5 linked regions of the Macaca mulatta genome follow. The protein of the gene in region 1 binds, or shares a complex with, the protein of each later gene. Links are inferred from orthologs where the notes say so. Each region holds a gene or a part of one and is shown in the gene's direction. Other genes may lie near its edges. The genes, in order: STRN4, STK24, STK25, STRIP1 and STK26.

Region 1 (4,098 bases):
ACAGATGAGGTTCTTTTCTATAAAGTAACTGGTGACATGTATTTCTTTTTTTTTTGAGACAAAGTCTCGACCTGTCACCCAGGCTGGAGTGCAGTAGCACGATCTTGGCTCACTGCAACCTCCACCTCCCAGGTTCAAGCGAGTCTCCTGCCTCAGCCTCCCAAGTAGCTGGGACTTCAGGTGTGTACCACCACACCTGGCTAAGTTTTTTGTATTTTTAGTAGAGATGGGGTTTCACCATGTTGCCCAGGCTGGTCTCGAACTCCTGACCTCAAGTCATCTGCCCACCTCAACCTCCCAAAGGGCTGGGATTATAGGTGTGAGCCACTGTGCCTGGCCAATCCACAGACATTTCTACTTGATCTGGGGTCTCCAAGGGATCCTGCCTCCTGTAAGGAACTGGGCCCATTTTGGATTTGCAGAAAATGTACATGGAGAGTAAAAGTGATAAGAGAAGTAGAAGCTGGCATTTGTTAGCCTTTATTCTGTGCCAGGCCTTGGACTGAGCAGAAGCTAGCACATGAGGGGAGGGCACTCTTACGAGTCTCATTTTCTGGAGGCGCAAATGGAGGCTCAGAGAAGGCCAATGACCTGCCTAAGATCATGTAGCGAGTAAGTGTCTAAGTTGGGCCTGGAGCTCTGGCTGTTCTGGGCTGGAATGGTGGGGTGCTTAGGGAGAAGCCAGAGATGAGCCCTGGGCCAGGGCTTTGGCACAAGGGCTTCTGGACCATGGTCAGAGGCCAGGATCCTGCCTGGAAGGCAGTGGGCCCAGTGTCTCTAAATGACTTGTTGACAGACTGGAGCAGACAGGGCAACTCAAGCCAGCAGACGGTGTGAAGTGCTTGGCAGGAACCCGGAGTCGTGTCTGTGGCACATTTCTCTCACACCCTGGGCAGAGTGCAGTGGGACGGCTGGTCCCACAGTGGGCTTGGCTTGTAAAGCTTTTGTATTGGAGCGGGAGCCGAGCCAAGCCACCCACTCTTGTCCCAAAGCTCCAGAAGTAGCTTCCCACGCCTCCCAGAGACAGATGCTCTGGTAAGAATAGTGGGACACCACCTCCACCAGTAGCCTTAGGGACAGCACCTGCCAGAGGGTGTTGGGGGGAGTCCAGGGCAGTGAATGCCCACCCTCCTCTCCACTGCCATCCCTGACCCGACTTCCCTCCAAAAGCAGCCAGCAAGTGAGGCCTAGGCTGTCCCCATTGTCATCTCAGGGTTTAAGGGCTCCCCTTCGGCCCTCGTTGTGGATGACGTGGCAGGGGGCCCTGGAAACAGATCCAGCCTGTCCTCTCAGTGCTTCCTGAACCCTGGCTCGGGGTCTTTGTGCTGAGGAAGTGGCTGCCACCCATCACTGTGGGGTGGCTGTGGGCTGGTACTGTGCCTGGATGAGTGACGGACACACCGGCAGTGAGCCTGAGCCCCGCTGTCTTCATTTGCCTCCTGTGTGCCCTCCCAGGCTCAGGTGGCCTTCCTCCAGGGAGAGAGGAAAGGGCAGGAGAATCTGAAGACAGACCTGGTGCGGCGGATCAAGATGCTAGAGTACGCACTGAAGCAGGAAAGGTGAGCCTTCGTCCTGCCCCGGGCCTGCCTTCTGGGTCCATCTCAAGCACAGCGTCAGGAGGCCACCAGCCACGCCTCCTTCCAGCTGAGGGAGATTTGGGGTCGACATTCTTTTCCATCGTTCCAGTACCATAAGGTTCTAGGGGAGAAACAAGACAGGGTAGGTGGGATTCCGGCTAGACGTCTACCAGAAACAGTATTCACGATGCTGGTGGCCCACTGTGCGCCAAATATTGTATAGTCCTTACCTCGGTTATCCCTTACCCCTTCCCGTAGCCTAACGGGTATTGTTAGCCCTGTTTCAGACGAGGAACTGGGGTTTCAAGGGCTGATGGTTTCTTCAAGGACCCCTGAGACTAGGGGTCTCAGGTTGCCTGACTCTAGGGAGTGATCTCTTCCACCAGGCCAGGGGTGTGGGGGATGCTTCAGCCTCAGTGGTAGGAGACCGGTTGTGGGAGGCCCTGTGATTTGGGGTTTGGGATTCCAGATTCCTCAGGTAACTGCTGACTCTGTCTACTCTCCCGCATCTCTTATTCATTAACCATTTGCTCTTTTAGGGCCAAATATCATAAACTGAAGTTTGGTACAGACCTGAACCAGGGGGAGAAGAAAGCAGATGTGTCAGAACAAGGTACCCACCCTCTGATGCTCGCGCGGTCGGCGCCCTCCCGTGGACGCTGAGTGTGCTGGAGAAGCAGGAAGATGGGGTGCCTCTTTCTCACTTTGCTCCTTAGAAGGCAGAATCGGCCCCGGGGCTGGGGAGGGGCGGATTCTCACTCTCAGAGTCCTCCCCATGGGCTGCCAGGTCCTGTGCTGGACCCTGGGGGCCAGTCCTGCTTGCCGTCCCCCTGTGCAACAGAGGCAGACACATGAGCAGCTCACGGGATCCCTTTGCGAGGAGTGGGCGCCAGGACTATTTATAGACTGCCGGGGACGGTGCGGGAAAGCCGGGGAAGACGTCACTGAGGAGGTGGCGTTTGAACAGAGTTGCCATTCAGTCGTTCATCCAAAAAGACTTTATTTGTGGGGTACAGGCTTTGTATCACAGATCAGGAATACAGCAGAGAGCACGGGAGATGTGGTTCCTACCCTCTGGTCCCTTAGAGTCTAAGCTCCTTGAAAGATGACTCTGTTCCCCAGCAGGAGAGTCAGGGGAGACAGCACAGATGCAGAGACGCACGCTGAACGGGTTAGAGGATAGGGAGTCGGTCACTGTGACTGGGCAAACGGTGTAGGGCAGAGGATGTGGGAGGGCGGGCCAGGTGAGGGGAAGCTTGGCTGAGGCAAGCTGAGAAGACCTTGTATGCTCAGCTGATAGTGATGGTCGTTACCTGCTGCCAGCTCTTCTCACTGGAACGGAAGTTCCACAGGGGCAGGTCTTTGTTGACCCGGGTAGCCCAGGTCCCTAGCCAGGCACGAAGTAGATGCCCAGAAAAGACTTGAATAAAATACTAAGCAAATTACCTCATTGCATCCTCCCAGCACTCCCAAGAGGGAGATGCTGTTATCATTAAGCTCATTTCTCAGAGGACAAAACTGACACCGCTCACCCTAACTCAGGGTCACACAGCTGGGATGGGGCAGAGCCGGGCTTGAACCCGGTCGGCCCTACTCTCAGAACCAGGCCAGCTTTCTGTGAAGGAAAATGACAACTCGCCCAGAGTTTTGAGAAAAAGCCCTTTTCTTGTCGGGGGCCAGTTTGGGGAACCACCAGTCAGGAGACCTAGAGATGAGGACCGCTTCAAGGAGGAGGCATCCCCACGTGGGGGAAGAGAGCAGGGTTCCAACACTCAGGAAGTGACGCCACAGGACCCGTGACAGTGACCGATTTGGGTTGGAGGGGTGAGGAGGATGGAGGAGATGATGGGTAGGTGGCAGTGGCCCGACTAAGACAGCCTCCGTTCTCTCACCCGCCAGTCTCCAATGGCCCCGTGGAATCGGTCACCCTGGAGAACAGCCCGCTGGTGTGGAAGGAGGGGCGGCAGCTTCTCCGACAGTGAGTGTGCTTGGGGAGTGGGGCTGGGGACACATGGCACATTTGGCTTGAGAGAGAAGTCCAAAGGCTCCACAGTCCTTTTGTGTACCCAGTGGGGACGCTGAACTATCAGTATCTTAGCCCGCCATGGCTGGAGTGGCCTTCACCCTGTGGGTGGAGCCTGGCCTGGGGAGAGGGAGGGAAACGCACTGCAGGAGGCAGACATGGGAACGCCCCCATTGGAATGTGTCCCTGAATGCCTCTATGGCTTTTTTATTTTATTTTTTTAATCTCAGTGGCCATAGGAGCCCTTTGTGGCCTTTTTTTTTTTTTTTTATCTCGGTGGCCATAGGAGCCCTGTGGCTTTGTTTTTTTTTTTTCAATACCTTGTGAAGATTTATGAAGTGTGGCTTTTTATTCCCCAAGGGTAATATTAAATTATTTTTTTATTTGTTAATTAGATTTTTAAAGACTAATCAGGCCAGCGTGGTGGCTCATGCCTGTAATCCCAGCACTTTGGGAGGCCAAGGCAGGTGGATCACCTGAGGTCGGGAGTTCAAGACC
Region 2 (4,573 bases), on another chromosome or scaffold:
TCCTTGCAGTCCTACTTAGGGGTGGCAGGGCTCCTCAAGGGATGGGTGTACCAGAGACAACCATGAGGTATTCTAAGGTATTCCCTAGGACTCCGAGAAAAACATTCATCTTTCCAAAGGGAAAGAAGGGATTAGATGTTAGCATCCTACCCTGTGTCAGATCCAGGGCATCCTGCGAAACTGATGTTCGTGGATGGAATACAATGACACCTCGGAAAAGAAATACTCCTTACTTTGGTGGAGGCCTTTAAACTTTTGGGGGCTCATTTTGTCTGCCTAACTCGCCCAGCCAGGGTGCAAAATGGCCACTTAGGAGCATGAATGAGGTACCAGCGTCCCTATAATCTAAGGGGCAGGGAGTCATCACTGGGGTGGCTGCCGCTCTACTGTTTGCGACTGTAATAAAACACTTCCTGGAGGCCGAGGGACCCGCTCCATCCTGACTTTTCCCCTCAGTAGCTAGAGAGAAGGCAGCTGAAAAGAGGAGACAGAACTGGTGCTGAGTGGGCCTGGAGCTTCCCAGGAAAAGGAAAGAGACGGAGAGGGCTGCAGTTCAAAGTCCAGATGCGCTTTCCTTCCATTCTCTTCCCTTCCTCCCTGCCCTCTGCACTCCATTTTCCCCTTTTCGTGGGTGGGTGCTCCTGACTTGCTGCGGACTCCAGAGATGGTGGGGTTCAGCCTCCTCACTGCTTAGCTAAGTTCCCAGCCCAGCAGCCCCAGCGGGGCTGTTTTCGGTAACCAAAGCGCTAGGAATCAACCTCTCTCTCGGCCTCTCCCCTTTCGGTTTCCTTCTTGGGTTGGCTGGAAACTTCACCCAGACACCGAAGCAGCTCTGCCCGGCCTTTTGGCACAGGCCACCGGCCGAGGCCCCGCGGGGCGCTCTCCCTCCCCAGGTGCCCCTGGACCCTGACCCTGCCCTCTGGGGCTCGCCCGGAGCCCGTTTCCCCATGGATCGCCGGGGCGGAGTGGGCTGGCTGGCGTGAAGAGGGGGCCACGGCCCAGCTCTCCCCGGCGCCGGCCCGGTGGGCGCACGGCCAGCCTCCGGCCCCGACTCGGTCCCTCCCAGCGCCCGCCCCAGCCGAGGCCCCCTCCCGGCCCAGCCGCCCGCCCGCCCGCGGGGGCGTGGGAGCGCCGCGGGAGCAGCTGGGACCCGGGCCGGGCCGGCAGGCGGCGGCGGCGGCTGCGGCCTAGGGCTCGCGCGCGGCCACCGGCCTCTCCCCTCCCCCTCCCGGAAGCGCGGGGCGGGGTCCCCGGCCGGGCCGCGGGGGCGGGCGCGGGGGCCGGGCCGGGACGGGACGCGCTTGGCGCTCGCGGGCTCGGCGGGCTGTGCGCGCCCACTCCCGCTCCAGCGGCCAGCGCGCGCGGGCCCAGGCCGCCCGGCTCCAGCCCAGCAGCAGCGGCGGCGGCGGCAGTTCGCGCGAGGCCCCGCGCCCCCAGCAGCTCCTCCCCCGCGCCGTGCATGGAGACGCGGCCCGCCACCCGCAGCTGAGCCCCCGCCGCCCGGCCGGGACCCGCCGGGGCTGGGGTGGCCTCGGGCTCCGGCCGCCCCGCCGCCCGAGGGTTGCGCGCGGCCCGCGGGCCTCGCCGCCCCGCGCGGATCGCCGCGGCCCGGCCGTCCCGTGCCAGGAAGTAGCCGTCCTGAGCGCCATGGCTCACTCCCCGGTGCAGTCGGGCCTGCCCGGCATGCAGGTAGGCGGGCGCGGGCCGCGGGGCCGGGATGCGCGACCGGGGCGGAAGCGGCAACTTGGCGGTGTCCACACGGCGCCCCCCTACGCCCAGCTGGCCGGGGTCGCGCCAGAGCCTGGCTCCCCGCGCGCCCAGCTCGGCCGGGGGTCCGAGTCGGAGCCCCTGATGTCCCTGCCGGCTCTGGCGGCCGAGGTCTCCGGCGTGTGCTTGCAGGAGCCGTAGGGACCGCGGCCTGGGTCCGGATGTGGGGGTGCGGGCGCCTCGTCCTACGCGCTCCCCTCGCCCCAACACTCCTCCGGAGCTGCAGGCCCTGGGTGGCCTCCTCCCCGGGAGAAGTGAGGTGGAGGGATGCCCTTGGAGGCCCCCGCCGGGTCCCTGGGCCCTGCGTGCGGGCCGGGTTGGCGGCGGCCCCCAGGACGCGCCCCCCCAGGCTCGTCCCCCACCCCCGGGCGGGCGGGCGGGAGACCTGGGCAGGGCGGGGACGGGGAGCGCGCCTGGACTCGTCCGGGCCCGAGCGGAGTAGGCAGGGCGGAGTGGAGGAAGGTGTAACCGCGAGTTCCACTTGGAGTGGCCTTGCACCTGCGGACTGGGGGGAAGTGCGAGCTGCAGACCTTTTGGAAGGAGGAATCCCTCGCACAGCCGCACACCAGGGTCCCGGGCCTTTCACTTTGAGACTTGGTTGCATTTACAGGAGTTCTTCGCCCAGTAAACCTCTCCTTCGGTACTTGGTGACATCTTGGCCTACCAGCGACTTTTTGAGGGATGGGGGAGGAGTTGAATTTCAAATTTACATGTATAAGTTAAAGGTTTTTTGTTGTTTTTGTTGCCATTGGGGACTGCTTTTAGCCCTTTGAAAAACAAAACCACCGTCCTTGGCTAACTCTTGTAAAGTTTGTAGGCGCAGAAATGGTGGCAAAATGCTTAGGATTGAAATCTTAGGATACAATTAGGATATGTCAGGAAAGTTTGCTCTCCCAGTCTAGCTGAGTGAACGTTAAGTGTTCGAAGAAAACCAGAAGCATCCAAGTAGATTACCGGTTGACTTATAGATACCAACAGGCTCATTCCCTGTGTGTTGAGGGCTGAGAAGCACAGTGCCCAGACCTGGGACTGCCTCTGGAGTCTGCCCGCGTTTTCCAGTGAGATCATCCCTCTCCCTTCTTTTTTTGAAACCATAAAAAGAAAACTGGATTTCACTGTTCACGTTTGAATTCTGGAAATATAAGAACTCAAAGTTACCGCTTTAATGGCAGCTAGAATTTTACTCCAACTGTGTATTATAAGCAGTATATATATGTGTGTATATAAATGTTTAAGCAGTAAATAAATATATATATTTAAGCAGTAACAGTATCTTAAGAGTGACTGGGAAGATGCTTGAAGAATATTCTTTTGTCGACTCTCGTTTAAGGAGCGTTGAATTTAGCATGCATTCAAAACCTAAACTTCTGCTGACTGCTGGGTAACAATCAGATGTGGTTTCTTGGTATTTCCTAAAGCCGCTTTGGTATGAATTTAGAGGTGTGTAGGTCAGAGTGAACTGGGTGAAAAAACGAATTTCTTACCAGTCGAGCAAGAAGGACTCTTGTAATGATTTTTAAAAAAACTTTTATCAATATTTCCTTTAGGTTGACATTTATACCGTGTGCATCAGGTTGGAGTCTAGCACAAATGCCTCACTTACTAGGTTAATTGGCCTTTGTGGATAGCCAATCAGTTTGAAAAGGTACTAAAGCCCCTTTGGCTGGTGCTGTGAAGTCAGTATCAGATGGTTACCAGGTGATACCTAGTATCTCACCTTTTCATTTTTGTCCTTTTTTTTTTTTTTTGAGTGGATCAGAGTTCTTAAATCTTGGGAAAAGAGGATACATTTCCTTAATAACTTTGCCTCTCAACTGTTACGTATCTGTTAGATTGTGTTACATGGGAACTGTTTTTGTTTTCTCAGTATGAAAGATGGTAAGTGTTTCTCAGGAGAAAAGATGATCAGATTTTCAGCTGTTAACAGTTTTACAGTTTTAGAGGTAGGAAAGTTGGCTTCTGCCAGTCATTCCTGTACCTAAGTACATCTACAGACTGTATGGTAACAAAGTGTATCATTTGGGGAAGAACATTCTTTTCTCCTTCCCCATCCCCCAAAAGAAAAACAACAAGCACATTTATTTTCTACTTCAAATTAGCAGTTGCTGCTGCCCTGGGAGGCTTCCCTAAGAGTTGTTGCTGAAGATTCAATTAAAAGCACACCCGCTTTCAACTGTTGTCTGCTAAATGGGAGGAGAGAAGTCCATATCTTCTATGGCTTGCCCTGATAGGCCTCATAGCCCCCCCTTTTTCTTGTCTCCTGACCAGGGCTTATAAGGAGTTGGCTTAGAAAGACAGCAGAGTCTGTAATCCAGCACTTTGAGAGGCCGGAGCGGGCGGATCATGAGGTCAGGAGATTGAGACCATCCTTGCTAACAAGGTGAAACCCTGTTTCTACTAAAAATCAAAAAAATTAGCTGGGCGTGGTGGCACAGGCCTGTAGTCCCAGCTGCTCAGGAGGCTGAAGCAGGAGAATCGCTTGAACCCGGAGGTTGCATTGAGCTGAGATCATGCCATTGAACCTCAGCCTGGGCGACAGAGCCAGACACCATCTCAAAAAAAAAAAAAAAAAAAAAGGCAGAGTGAATTTAGGTGGCCTAGGCAAGGATGCTTGAAAAATAACAACCATGTTAGTATAAACACCATTCTTCCGTGTTTTGCAAATCATTTTTATGCCTCTTGATTCTTACTGGTACCGTTTGAGATGTAGGTATTATACCATTTTGTAGATGTAGAGACCAAGGGACGCTTAACTGACCAAGGTGAGATCGTATATTATATGGCAGATTTGTTATTGGAAACTACT
Region 3 (3,365 bases), on another chromosome or scaffold:
GGGCCTGGGACAGGAGCTGAGGCCCTGCTGTCCCACCTTCCTCTCCAGCTTAAACCAGGTCCCCTGGAGGAGACGTACATTGCCACGATCCTGCGGGAAATTCTGAAGGGCCTGGATTATCTGCACTCCGAACGCAAGATCCACCGAGACATCAAAGGTCCTGCTGGGGGTGAATGTGGCTCTTGTAATGTCCTGAGCCCCACTGACCTTAGAGAGGCTGGGGCCTGTGAGGGGCAAGTGGCTAGTGGTGCCCAGCGTCTGGGGTATAGAGAACCCTGTGGCCACCCTGAAACTGAGCAGTTGTCTTGCTCCATTTCCAGAAGATACTGTTTGTAACAGTTTCCTTGTACGCTGAGTAAACCAGCTGTGGACTGAGTGTAGGAACAGCCACGCTTAGCCAGAGTTGTTGGTTCCCGGTGGCTCACAGCACAACAGCAGGTGTAGGCTTGAGTAGCCCCAGCGTGTGGTCTGGCCCTGCTAAGTGCAGACATGAGGTTGGGCCAGCCTGTGGGGAGGGACTTGCCACCGGCACCGAGTCATCTCTCTCATGTAGGGGACAAGTCTGGTGGAGCAAGGGGCTTCCTGGCAGGCCCATGGTGGCCACACCCTTGATCAGGGTCACCTCTGTGGTAGCCCCCAGTGGGCGAAGTCACCTGTCGTTGGGATTTGTTGTAAAAGCCAAATGCAGGGAGAGCCCTGGAGCTCGGAGTGGAGACCTTAGGCTCCTTCTGGCAGTGCCCCTGTGGCCCTAGGTGGCCCTGGGTTTGAGAGTGGCAAGGAGGGCTGAAGTCCTGAGGACAGCCCTGCTGTGCCCTAGGAGGCCAGGTGGATGATACCCTGGCCCTTCTCAGGGGGCCCTGGGTGGAGCCACGTGGAGCCTGGCATGACGTCTGCCTGTCCTGTGTCAAGCAGCTGCCAACGTGCTACTCTCGGAGCAGGGGGATGTGAAGCTGGCGGACTTTGGGGTAGCAGGGCAGCTCACAGACACACAGATTAAGAGGAACACGTTCGTGGGCACCCCCTTCTGGATGGCGCCTGAAGTCATCAAGCAGTCGGCCTATGACTTCAAGGTGGGTGCAGTGGGTGGGCGGGCGGGTGCGGGCACCACGCCTGACTGGGGTGCTCAGGGCAGCGACAGTCCTTGTGTTCTGTCCAGGCCGACATCTGGTCCCTGGGGATCACGGCCATCGAGCTGGCCAAGGGGGAGCCTCCAAACTCTGACCTCCACCCCATGCGCGTCCTGTTCCTGATTCCCAAGAACAGCCCTCCCACACTGGAGGGCCAGCACAGCAAGCCGTTCAAGGAGTTCGTGGAGGCCTGCCTCAACAAGGACCCCCGATTCGTAAGGCCCGCCTCTGGCCTGGCCCCTTCTGGATGGGCATATGGAGGGAGGGCATTTGCTTGGGGTGGGCAGCACAGCCCGGAGGCCTAGGCCCCCCAGCCTTGTAGCCGTGAGGACCTGCCCCAGTCCAGGCTGCCTCACATTTGCTTTCCTGAGGCAGAGCTTGGCTGGGCCCAGTGACCGATGTTCCCCTGACCCCGCACAGCGGCCCACAGCCAAGGAGCTCCTGAAGCACAAGTTCATCACACGCTACACCAAGAAGACCTCCTTCCTCACGGAGCTCATCGACCGCTATAAGCGCTGGAAGTCCGAGGGGCATGGCGAGGAGTCCAGCTCCGAGGACTCTGACATGTAGGGGCCTGGTTTATCCTCATGGTGACCCTCGGTGTTGTGACGTGGGTGGTCCCCACTCCAGAAGCAGGGGCGTGGGCTCTAGGGGTGAGAGTGACCAGATATAGTATTGGGCAGGGACCCCCTTAAGGCTACAGGACAGGGCCTGCTGAGGCATCAGTTGGACTCCGTGGCCTGGCAGAGCGCCGCCCAGTACCTCGGGTTTCCCTTGGCCGTGAGGTGTGCCCTGAGGCCCTTGTGCCTCCTGGCTCTCCCCCCACTGACCCTGGCAACTCTTCATCCTCTTCAGTGATGGCGAGGCGGAGGACGGGGAGCAGGGCCCCATCTGGACGTTCCCCCCCACCATCCGGCCGAGTCCACACAGCAAGCTTCACAAGGGGACGGCCCTGCACAGCTCACAGAAGGTCTGTTCCCGGCCTGGCCTCTGCCTGCTGTGCACCCCTGGGGCTGGGTGCGGGACCCAGCTTTGTCCACCCAGTGTCTGGGGCTTGGACAAGGAGCTTGGGAAAGGCAGGGGTGGTCTGAAGCCCACTGTGGCACTGGGCCTGGTGTGGAGACCCCAAGCCCCAGCATGTGCTGGGAAGATGAGGGCCTGTTAGGAGCCAAATTTGTGAGGAGAGGGTGGGTGGGAGTTGTAAGCCCTGAGTCAGGCCATCTGGGTGGCTTGATGGTTTTGGGGCCAGCCCTGGGCATGTGCCATGACAGGCTGCTCCCAGTCTCCATCCCTTCAAGGCTAGAGCCTGAAGGGATGGGAGTGCCCTGCCTGTCGCCTGCACTGCCCTGCTCACCCTGGGCCTCCACTTCCTTTGCAGCCCGCAGAGCCTGTCAAGAGGCAGCCAAGGTCCCAGTGCCTGTCCACGCTGGTCCGGCCTGTCTTCGGAGAGGTGAGAAGGGGGCTGGGGCTGGGGCTGGGGCTGGAGCCCCGCCAGGGACGAGGCTGGGACGCTGCTCCGCGGGGATGTCCCCTCACAGTGCCGTGGGGCAGTCTCAGCTTCTAGGTTTCCTGCAGCTGATTATGGGCTGGGTTTCCTGAGTAGAAGGAGCAGAATCTGCTGTGATGACCTTTTGTACTCCCAGACCTGCCAAGGTCCTCTGGGTTCCCAGAGCGACTTTTGTTTTCTTCAAGTGCAAACACAGATGACCCTTCTATAGAGAAAGCAGAGAAGATGTAGTCGGGGTCCATCCAGGGCAGGTGCCTCCCTGGTTAGTCACATGACCTTGCATCAGCGTCACCTGCTAATGGGCAGTCGGCACCATTCTCAGAGATGTGATGCAGCCAGGAGCTCTGTGCCCAGGGCGTGGCCAGTGGGCTTGGGCCCAGGTGTGCTCTCCAGGAGCCCCTCCTGGAGCCTGGGGAGGATGGAGGATGTGGGTGAGAGGTGGTGACAGGAGAGCCTGCCTGAGGATGGCAGAGGGTGGAGCAGTCGAGGGACACTGGCCCCAGCCCATGTGGAGGCCCCAGTGAAGCAGCCACTCAGGCCCAGGTCCCGGGCAGCCTGCTGACCTAGCCACAGCCCCCGAGGGTGGGTGACACCCGGTGACAGAGGCTCGGAGCTGGTGTCTTGATGGAGGTCAGATCTGGGCCTGGTCGTGCTTTGGGAGTTTCTGGGCTTTGTGTTTTTGGGTCTGATCGGACCCATTCAGTGGCTTCCATGATCCTCAGCTGGGAGGA
Region 4 (2,750 bases), on another chromosome or scaffold:
GGCCTCCCAAAGTGTTGGGATTACAGGCATGAGCCACTGCGCCCGGCACCCTAGTGAATCTTTTCAACATGCAGCTTCTGTGCTGTTACCTCCCTGAGTAAAATCCTTCATTAGCTTCCTGTTTCCCTTAGAATTAGATTCAGACTCAAGCATGAGGCTCCCTCGTCCTTTTTCATTATCCTCCTCTGTAATCTGACCCAGCTTCCTTTTCAACCTCGTTACCTGCTGTCAGTCCAGCCTCCATCATACCCAGAGCTCCAGGCACAAGGAGTGCTTAGTGCCCTAACATAGCTGTGTGGTTACCACTGCTAGGCCTCTGCAGACGCTCTTCCTCCACCCGCAGGGTCTCCCCTGCCTGCCTGGGCTGCTCTGTGTGGGTGTGTTGCCACATTGTTGCGTTTCTGGAGTATACCACCATGGCTAAATGACTGTGTCTGTACTCTCAGTGCCTTGTGAATGTGTGCAGGCCCACGGTGGCACACGGTACCTGGTCAGGGAGTTGAGAGAGAATGAGCAAATGAGAGGATTTCCAGGTTCCTCCCTCTGACCCCAGAGAGCTAGGGAGGTTGCCACTTTGAGAGAAATGTGTTGTACACATGGCTCTCCCTCTCTGGGTCTACATAATCTCTACAGTATAAGCCTCTTTGTCGGTACTTCTGTCTTTTCTGCTTGTACTTGACTCTCCTTTGGATCTAGGAAGGAATTCCTAGAGCTCGGAGGTATCCTGCTCCTAGTTGACACTCAATATTCCTGGCCAGGCCCCTGAGCTGCAGTGAGTCCATGGGGAGCTGCTACAGGGCGTGGCTCCTAACTGTGTTCTTCCTGCTTTGTCTCAGATCTTGATGCCCGGCCTTGGGACTTCCAGGCAGAGGAGTGTGCCCTCCGTGCCAACATTGAACGCTTCAACGCCCGGCGCTATGACCGGGCCCACAGCAACCCCGACTTCCTGCCAGTGGACAACTGCCTGCAGAGTGTCCTGGGCCAACGGGTGGACCTCCCTGAGGACTTTCAGATGAACTATGACCTCTGGTTAGAAAGGGAGGTCTTCTCCAAGCCCATTTCCTGGGAAGAGCTGCTGCAGTAAGGCTGTTGGTTAGGGGACTGAAACAGAGAAAGGAGGATCTCAAGGTACCTGCAGGACTGTCCTAGTTCATGGCTGCAGCGCTCCCATTCCCCACCAGGTGGCAGCACAGCCCCACTGTGTCTTCTGCAGTCTGTCCTGGGTTTGGATGAGCCCAGCTTTACCTCCTATTGGTTCCCAGGGTCCAGCTCAGAAGCAGTCATCTCTGCCTGGGATCCATTCTTCCTTTATTTCTCTCACCCTCCTCTCTTGGACATGGTTGGTTTTGGCTCATTTCACAATCAGCCCAAGGCTGGGAAAGCTGGAATGGGATGGGAACCCCTCCACAGCACATCTAAATTTCAGGGGTCATGCTGATGCCTCCTGAGACACACAAATCCTTGCTTTGTCAGCTTGCAAAGGAGGAGAGTTTAGGATTAGGGCCAGGGCCAAAAAAAAATACAACGGTGTCTTGGTTGTGCTCTGGGGTGGGGGTGGGGGGTTTCTGTTGTTATTCCAGCCTCCTGCTATGTTATATGCAGAAGTAATTGCAGAGGCTCCTGCAGCTGCCTCCACACTTTGATTTTGGACAGGGACAAGGTAGGAAGAGAAGCTTCCCTTAACCAGAGGGGCCATTTTTCCTTTTGGCTTTGGAGGGCCTGTAAATACCTATATATAATTCTGTGTGTATTCTCCTGTGTCATGTTGGGGTTTTTAATGTGTTTGTGTATTCTGTTTACATTAAAAATAAGCAAAAATCATTCCCGTTGGCTTGTCTACGGGAAATATGGCCTCTACATGTCTCCTCCAGGTCTAGAAAGTGTTTTTTTCTGCTAGCATTGCTGGTCACTGCTTGTCTTGCCAAGCTGCCTGCCTTTCCCATCCTGGGGGAAGAGAAGAGGGAGTTGGCATTTATCCAGTGTAAATTAACCCCACAGTAATCTGGGATTACTCTCACCCAACTCCAGGGCACTATCAAGGTTACTTTACTGAGACATTGTCCTGCACCCCTGGGTTTGCTGTAATTTCAGTAGGAGCCCCAGGTTTCTCTGGATCACATCACTGAGCTGGCCTCAGCCAAACCAGTGTCAGTGCTAGAGAGGGAGGGGCTAGGTCAAAGCAAGGGGGTCAGCTGCTCTAGGTCCTCCCTGGGGCAGGTGGTTGGGACTGAGCGGAAACTTCAGTACTCAGAGCGTAGGAAGCAGACTATCAGGAGTCAGGTTCATGGTGGGAAACAATGTTGCCAGGAGCTAGGAGCCCCCTGTGGCTGAGAAAAAAGCAAGGAAAATCTTTGAAGTGGGTGTCAGTGGACACCTGGCGCCTACACTCTGGCCTCCAGACCCCTGGTTGCGTCTGCCTGAGAAGATATTACCGTTTTGATGCTGGTAAAAGGAGTGTTCCCTTTTTAGAATTCCTGGAAGCTCTTATTTTACCTGTACGCAGTTGTTTTATAGGTTCTTAAGTCTTGAAGGGTCTTGACTTGTAAAGGAAACATGTTCTGGGGAGAATCTCCCCTTCGTTGGGTCTTGTGTTCAGTGCCTGCCTGACCTGGGACCTGCTGAGCCTCAGACAGGCCTTTTGATGTGCCAGCATGGTTAGGGACAGCAGGGGTGGAAGGCAGCAGTGTACTCCTGGTGGTCACACAGTCTGTGAGATGGGAAGTCCCATCTGTGACTGATGGGCCCTTTGC
Region 5 (4,098 bases), on another chromosome or scaffold:
AAGTATCCAAGAAGCCTTCTATCTGCTCCTGACTTTACACAGAAGACAAACAAGATGTTCACTTAACATTGTTTCCTTCTGGACTTTCTTCAGAGTATTTCCATACTAAATAGTTGTTGTTGTTATTGTTGTTTTAGTGGTAATGATACCTTCTGAATAAGACTTAAATTTCTAACAGTGTACTTAAAGCTGAAGAGTGCAAATTCAAGTTAAATAACAGGTAAAACAGGGCCAAGGAGTAATCTGATTGTCCTGAGGAGGTGTATCTGTGAGGTTTTCGTTTTTGTAGCCCTGTTTTGGTATGGCATGTGGAAGTCGTCTGCCATTAATAAGTCAATATGAGGTTAATTTAGCAGTTCCTCCTATTTGACACTACAGAACATAGAGCTCTTTTTTGGGGGCAGCTTTGAGAAGGCAATACAAACGCAGATAGAGTAATACATTGTGATTTTTGCAGTAGAGGTAAGGAATATTTAGAAATTTCAGTGTTTTTTATTATTATATTTAAGTTCTGGGGTACATGTGCAGAACGTGCAGGTTTGTTACATAGGTATACATGTGCCTGTTGGTTTGCTGCACCCATCAACTCGTTATTTATATTAGGTATTTCTGCTAATGCTATCCCTCCCCAAGCCCCTACCCCCTGACAGGCCCTGATGTGTGATGTTCCCCTCCCTGTTTCCATGTGTTCTCATTGTTCAACTCCCACTTATGAGTGAGAACATGCAGTATTTGGTTTTCTCTTCTTGTGTTACTTTGCTGAGAATGATGGTTTCCAGTTTCATCCATGTCCCTGAAAAGGACATGAACTCATCCTTTTTTATAGCTGCATAGTATTCCATGGTGTATATGTGCCACGTTTTCTTTATCCAGTCTGTCATTGATGGGCATTTGGGTTGGAATTTCAGTAATCTTAAACGAATATTTGATTTGGGAGCTGACTTTTCTCAGAGGTTCCAAAGAATGATGGGAATGATTAGGCAAACTAGATTCTTTATTTAAGTGGCTTTTAATTGCATTCCTTGGGATGTTTGCTATTTATTTACTTGATCTTTGCCCTTGTGCTAAAAACAGGAAGGAAACCTGTCTTAACAAAGACTTAGGATACTTTAGTTTAAAATGATGAAGGGGGAATTATAACTTTTGTATTATCTATCAGGGATTCACGATTAGTAAATGTGGCAGGGGTCTCTATCCCTTAGCTAGCTAGGGAAGTGAGGTTATATTAGTGAAATCTTGTTTTCATGATTCCCTCCACTCTGAAAGTTGGTGTTTTGTAGGAGCAGTGTTAGACCCAAAATAAAAGAGTAGGAAGTGCAAACATTGTGTAAATGATGGATCTTTCTTTTTTTCTGTGTCTAACTTGCTATTCCTCAATTTAAAATCTTAAACTATATCCATGGATTAGGGTTTACTTCAGTGCTTCTTTAAAATGCAAAATGTGATCTGGTTTTAAATTTTTTGATTTACATATTTGCAAGAACCCATTTATTGTAGGAAGCAAGGAACAGCCGTATCCTCCCTCAAGTTGACTGTTTCAATCAAATCCTTTTAAAACACTAATTAGGAAGATGAAGATTTCATTTTTGTTCCTTAACAACAGAAGATTCTTGTTTAAAGTTAATGAATACATACACTTCCCAGAGTGTCTTATCAGAAGATATATCCTATGTGTCTTCAAATAAATGATACATTTCCAAATTTTAGAATTGTTTTATAACTGTGTCAGGAAAACGGAAATACTTTTTTTCCAAAGGAATTTATAAGGAGTGAACCCATCACCAAACTATGTAGTAAGTATTTTTTCCACAAGGTATTACAAAACCAAGAACCATCACCAAAAGTAGGAAGAGGTAACTGTGGGTTAGCCACTATGTATTAGTAGTCACAATGAAATACAAGGTCTTGGTAAAAGAGGACACCAAGGAAATCAATAATGATGGCACTCAAGTTTTTGAGAAGGTATTATAACAAAATATGAGCATTAAAAATGCATTTGCAACCTACTGGAAGCCTAAACTATTTTTAAAAGCCCGTATGGAAAGCTCAAGATGTGTTTGTTCCATGTGGGTACTGGAGGTGGGTGGGGATACACAAGTAGCTTGCAGTTTCAGAGACTTCTATATGGAAAGTACAACTTTTAGAAATGGAAAAACATCCAATCAGAAAGAATGGGGAAGCTTATAAGGTAAACAGGTCATGTACAAACTGTATTTTAGGCTGTGTAAAAAGAGAACTTGGTGAAATTCTTTAAAAGCAGTCATGGGTCTTGGAGTTACCTCAAAAGGTAGTGGTTTACTGGAGTAGTAGTGTGTCCATTTGGTGATCATGGTGCAAAGAACTTGATAAGAGAAAAACAATATTTTCAGTGGCCCCTTTGTCTAATAAGGAAGATAAAAGGGACACGCTGACTCCATAATAGTCTTCTGAAATTGACGATGAAATGAAACTAGGTAAAATTGTAGTAAATGAACAGATATTCTATGTACAGTTGACAAATTAGACACAGATAGCTCACCAGAACTTGATAGAATCCTCCTATATTTTGAAGAAACTCAAAAGTTTTTGATTAATAAAGCACTTAATGTGCTTTTGGCAGGGTTGGCCATCTTGAGTTTCTACTTGATCAGCAGTATATTTCCAGCAATATGAGTTTAAGTAAGTATAAGTATATAAAGTTTGTCTTGGGGTAAAATTTTAATTCAAAATTGTATATTATAAGATACAGAATATTTCTGAATCAGGAAACAACAGTGAATTTATAAATCTAAGTCATGCCTATACATTTGTTAACCTTAAAAGCCTACGCTTATTCCAGATTTTATTGAAGTGTTAAATTATTCTGGATCTTCACTGTGAGATGAGTTGTGAAAGTTCAATGTATTACCATTTTCTCATGATTACTAGCAATTAGTACAAAGGTATAGAATCTTAGTTCAACTATTGATGATAACATTTCACATAGATAAGATTCCAACTAAAGAAAAATAAAGACCTGTAAAGCCTGGAGTCTTTTGCGGTCTGTATTATTTAGATGGCGGTTTGGAAGTAGAGCTAAGATGATTGGGATATGCGAGTTGGAGAGAGAGGAGAGTTAAAAGGTAATATTGGCAGAATGTTAGAAACTTAAAACAGTTCACCTTAGCTTAGGTTAGATATTCTCCCACTATTGCTACATTTGCATTAATGTGTAAACTGTGTATAATCAGCAGCTTTATTCCAAAAAGTGCCTGATGTTTTGGCATGCACCGATTGTATTTGCTGTGTGAGAATGTTTGTGGTAGCAGGATCAGCTAAGCTCAGTTAGTGTGTGTGTTTCACTAGAATATGGACTAGCTGCCTGTTTGGGATTACAGTTGTTCTAACAAAGCACATATGGGGAGTCAAAGAAGTTTGTATGCTTTTACAAAAATTTGTTATTGTCTTATGTGATTTAGTTTCCTTCATTAAAAAAATCTGATTCAAAACGTTTGTGTTCTTTCTTTTTCTCTCTCCCCACTCCCTTTAGAATAACATAGCTGATCCAGAAGAGCTGTTCACAAAATTAGAGCGCATTGGGAAAGGCTCATTTGGGGAAGTTTTCAAAGGAATTGATAACCGTACCCAGCAAGTCGTTGCTATTAAAATCATAGACCTTGAGGAAGCCGAAGATGAAATAGAAGACATTCAGCAAGAAATAACTGTCTTGAGTCAATGTGACAGCTCATATGTGACAAAATACTATGGGTCATATTTAAAGGTAATGTGTGTGCTGTATTATTTAAGTCATAAGGTATTTTCATTAGAAGTTTTTTAATTCTATTTTTTTGAAAGGCAATGTCTTAAATTAGGATTTGGCAGTCTATGGCCTCCAGGCAGAATCCAGCTCCATTTATAGTGCCAAATAAACCGTTGTTAGATTTAGCAGCTGTATCCTGAATGCATCCCAGTACTCAGCTGCACCCCTTTTCTACACCTGAACTTTTGGTTTGACGGAGGAGCAGAAATGCAGCTGGTCCTGGAGACATATCCTTTGTCAGGAAAGAGCTATCCCCCTGCATTTCCAGACACTATTCTCAATGGTCTTGACTGTCTCAACCTCAGAATTGATGGAACATG

What was found.
Region 2: STRN4 (region 1) and STK24 share a complex: the UniProt entries of both Homo sapiens proteins name them as parts of the core of STRIPAK complex. The link is inferred for Macaca mulatta from reciprocal best matches to the Homo sapiens genes STRN4 and STK24.
Region 3: STRN4 (region 1) and STK25 share a complex: the UniProt entries of both Homo sapiens proteins name them as parts of the core of STRIPAK complex. The link is inferred for Macaca mulatta from reciprocal best matches to the Homo sapiens genes STRN4 and STK25.
Region 4: STRN4 (region 1) and STRIP1 share a complex: the UniProt entries of both Homo sapiens proteins name them as parts of the core of STRIPAK complex. The link is inferred for Macaca mulatta from reciprocal best matches to the Homo sapiens genes STRN4 and STRIP1.
Region 5: STRN4 (region 1) and STK26 share a complex: the UniProt entries of both Homo sapiens proteins name them as parts of the core of STRIPAK complex. The link is inferred for Macaca mulatta from reciprocal best matches to the Homo sapiens genes STRN4 and STK26.

Annotation. Positions count from the first base shown.
Region 1 is NC_133424.1:59,216,122-59,220,219, reverse strand, and holds part of STRN4 (striatin-4), read left to right. Parts: intron 1-1,455; coding exon 1,456-1,559; intron 1,560-2,116; coding exon 2,117-2,190; intron 2,191-3,476; coding exon 3,477-3,555; intron 3,556-4,098. UniProt on the Homo sapiens protein: Calmodulin-binding scaffolding protein which is the center of the striatin-interacting phosphatase and kinase (STRIPAK) complexes.
Region 2 is NC_133422.1:93,279,934-93,284,506, reverse strand, and holds the start of STK24 (serine/threonine-protein kinase 24), read left to right. Parts: upstream 1-1,621; 5' UTR 1,622-1,647; coding exon 1,648-1,689; intron 1,690-4,573. UniProt on the Homo sapiens protein: Serine/threonine-protein kinase that acts on both serine and threonine residues and promotes apoptosis in response to stress stimuli and caspase activation.
Region 3 is NC_133417.1:146,790,428-146,793,792, reverse strand, and holds part of STK25 (serine/threonine-protein kinase 25), read left to right. Parts: intron 1-48; coding exon 49-157; intron 158-912; coding exon 913-1,070; intron 1,071-1,138; coding exon 1,139-1,342; intron 1,343-1,547; coding exon 1,548-1,693; intron 1,694-1,982; coding exon 1,983-2,097; intron 2,098-2,505; coding exon 2,506-2,577; intron 2,578-3,365. UniProt on the Homo sapiens protein: Oxidant stress-activated serine/threonine kinase that may play a role in the response to environmental stress.
Region 4 is NC_133406.1:130,141,049-130,143,798, reverse strand, and holds the end of STRIP1 (striatin-interacting protein 1), read left to right. Parts: intron 1-836; coding exon 837-1,084; 3' UTR 1,085-1,821; downstream 1,822-2,750. UniProt on the Homo sapiens protein: Plays a role in the regulation of cell morphology and cytoskeletal organization. Required in the cortical actin filament dynamics and cell shape. Part of the striatin-interacting phosphatase and kinase (STRIPAK) complexes.
Region 5 is NC_133426.1:138,520,286-138,524,383, forward strand, and holds part of STK26 (serine/threonine-protein kinase 26), read left to right. Parts: intron 1-3,508; coding exon 3,509-3,739; intron 3,740-4,098. UniProt on the Homo sapiens protein: Serine/threonine-protein kinase that acts as a mediator of cell growth. Modulates apoptosis. In association with STK24 negatively regulates Golgi reorientation in polarized cell migration upon RHO activation.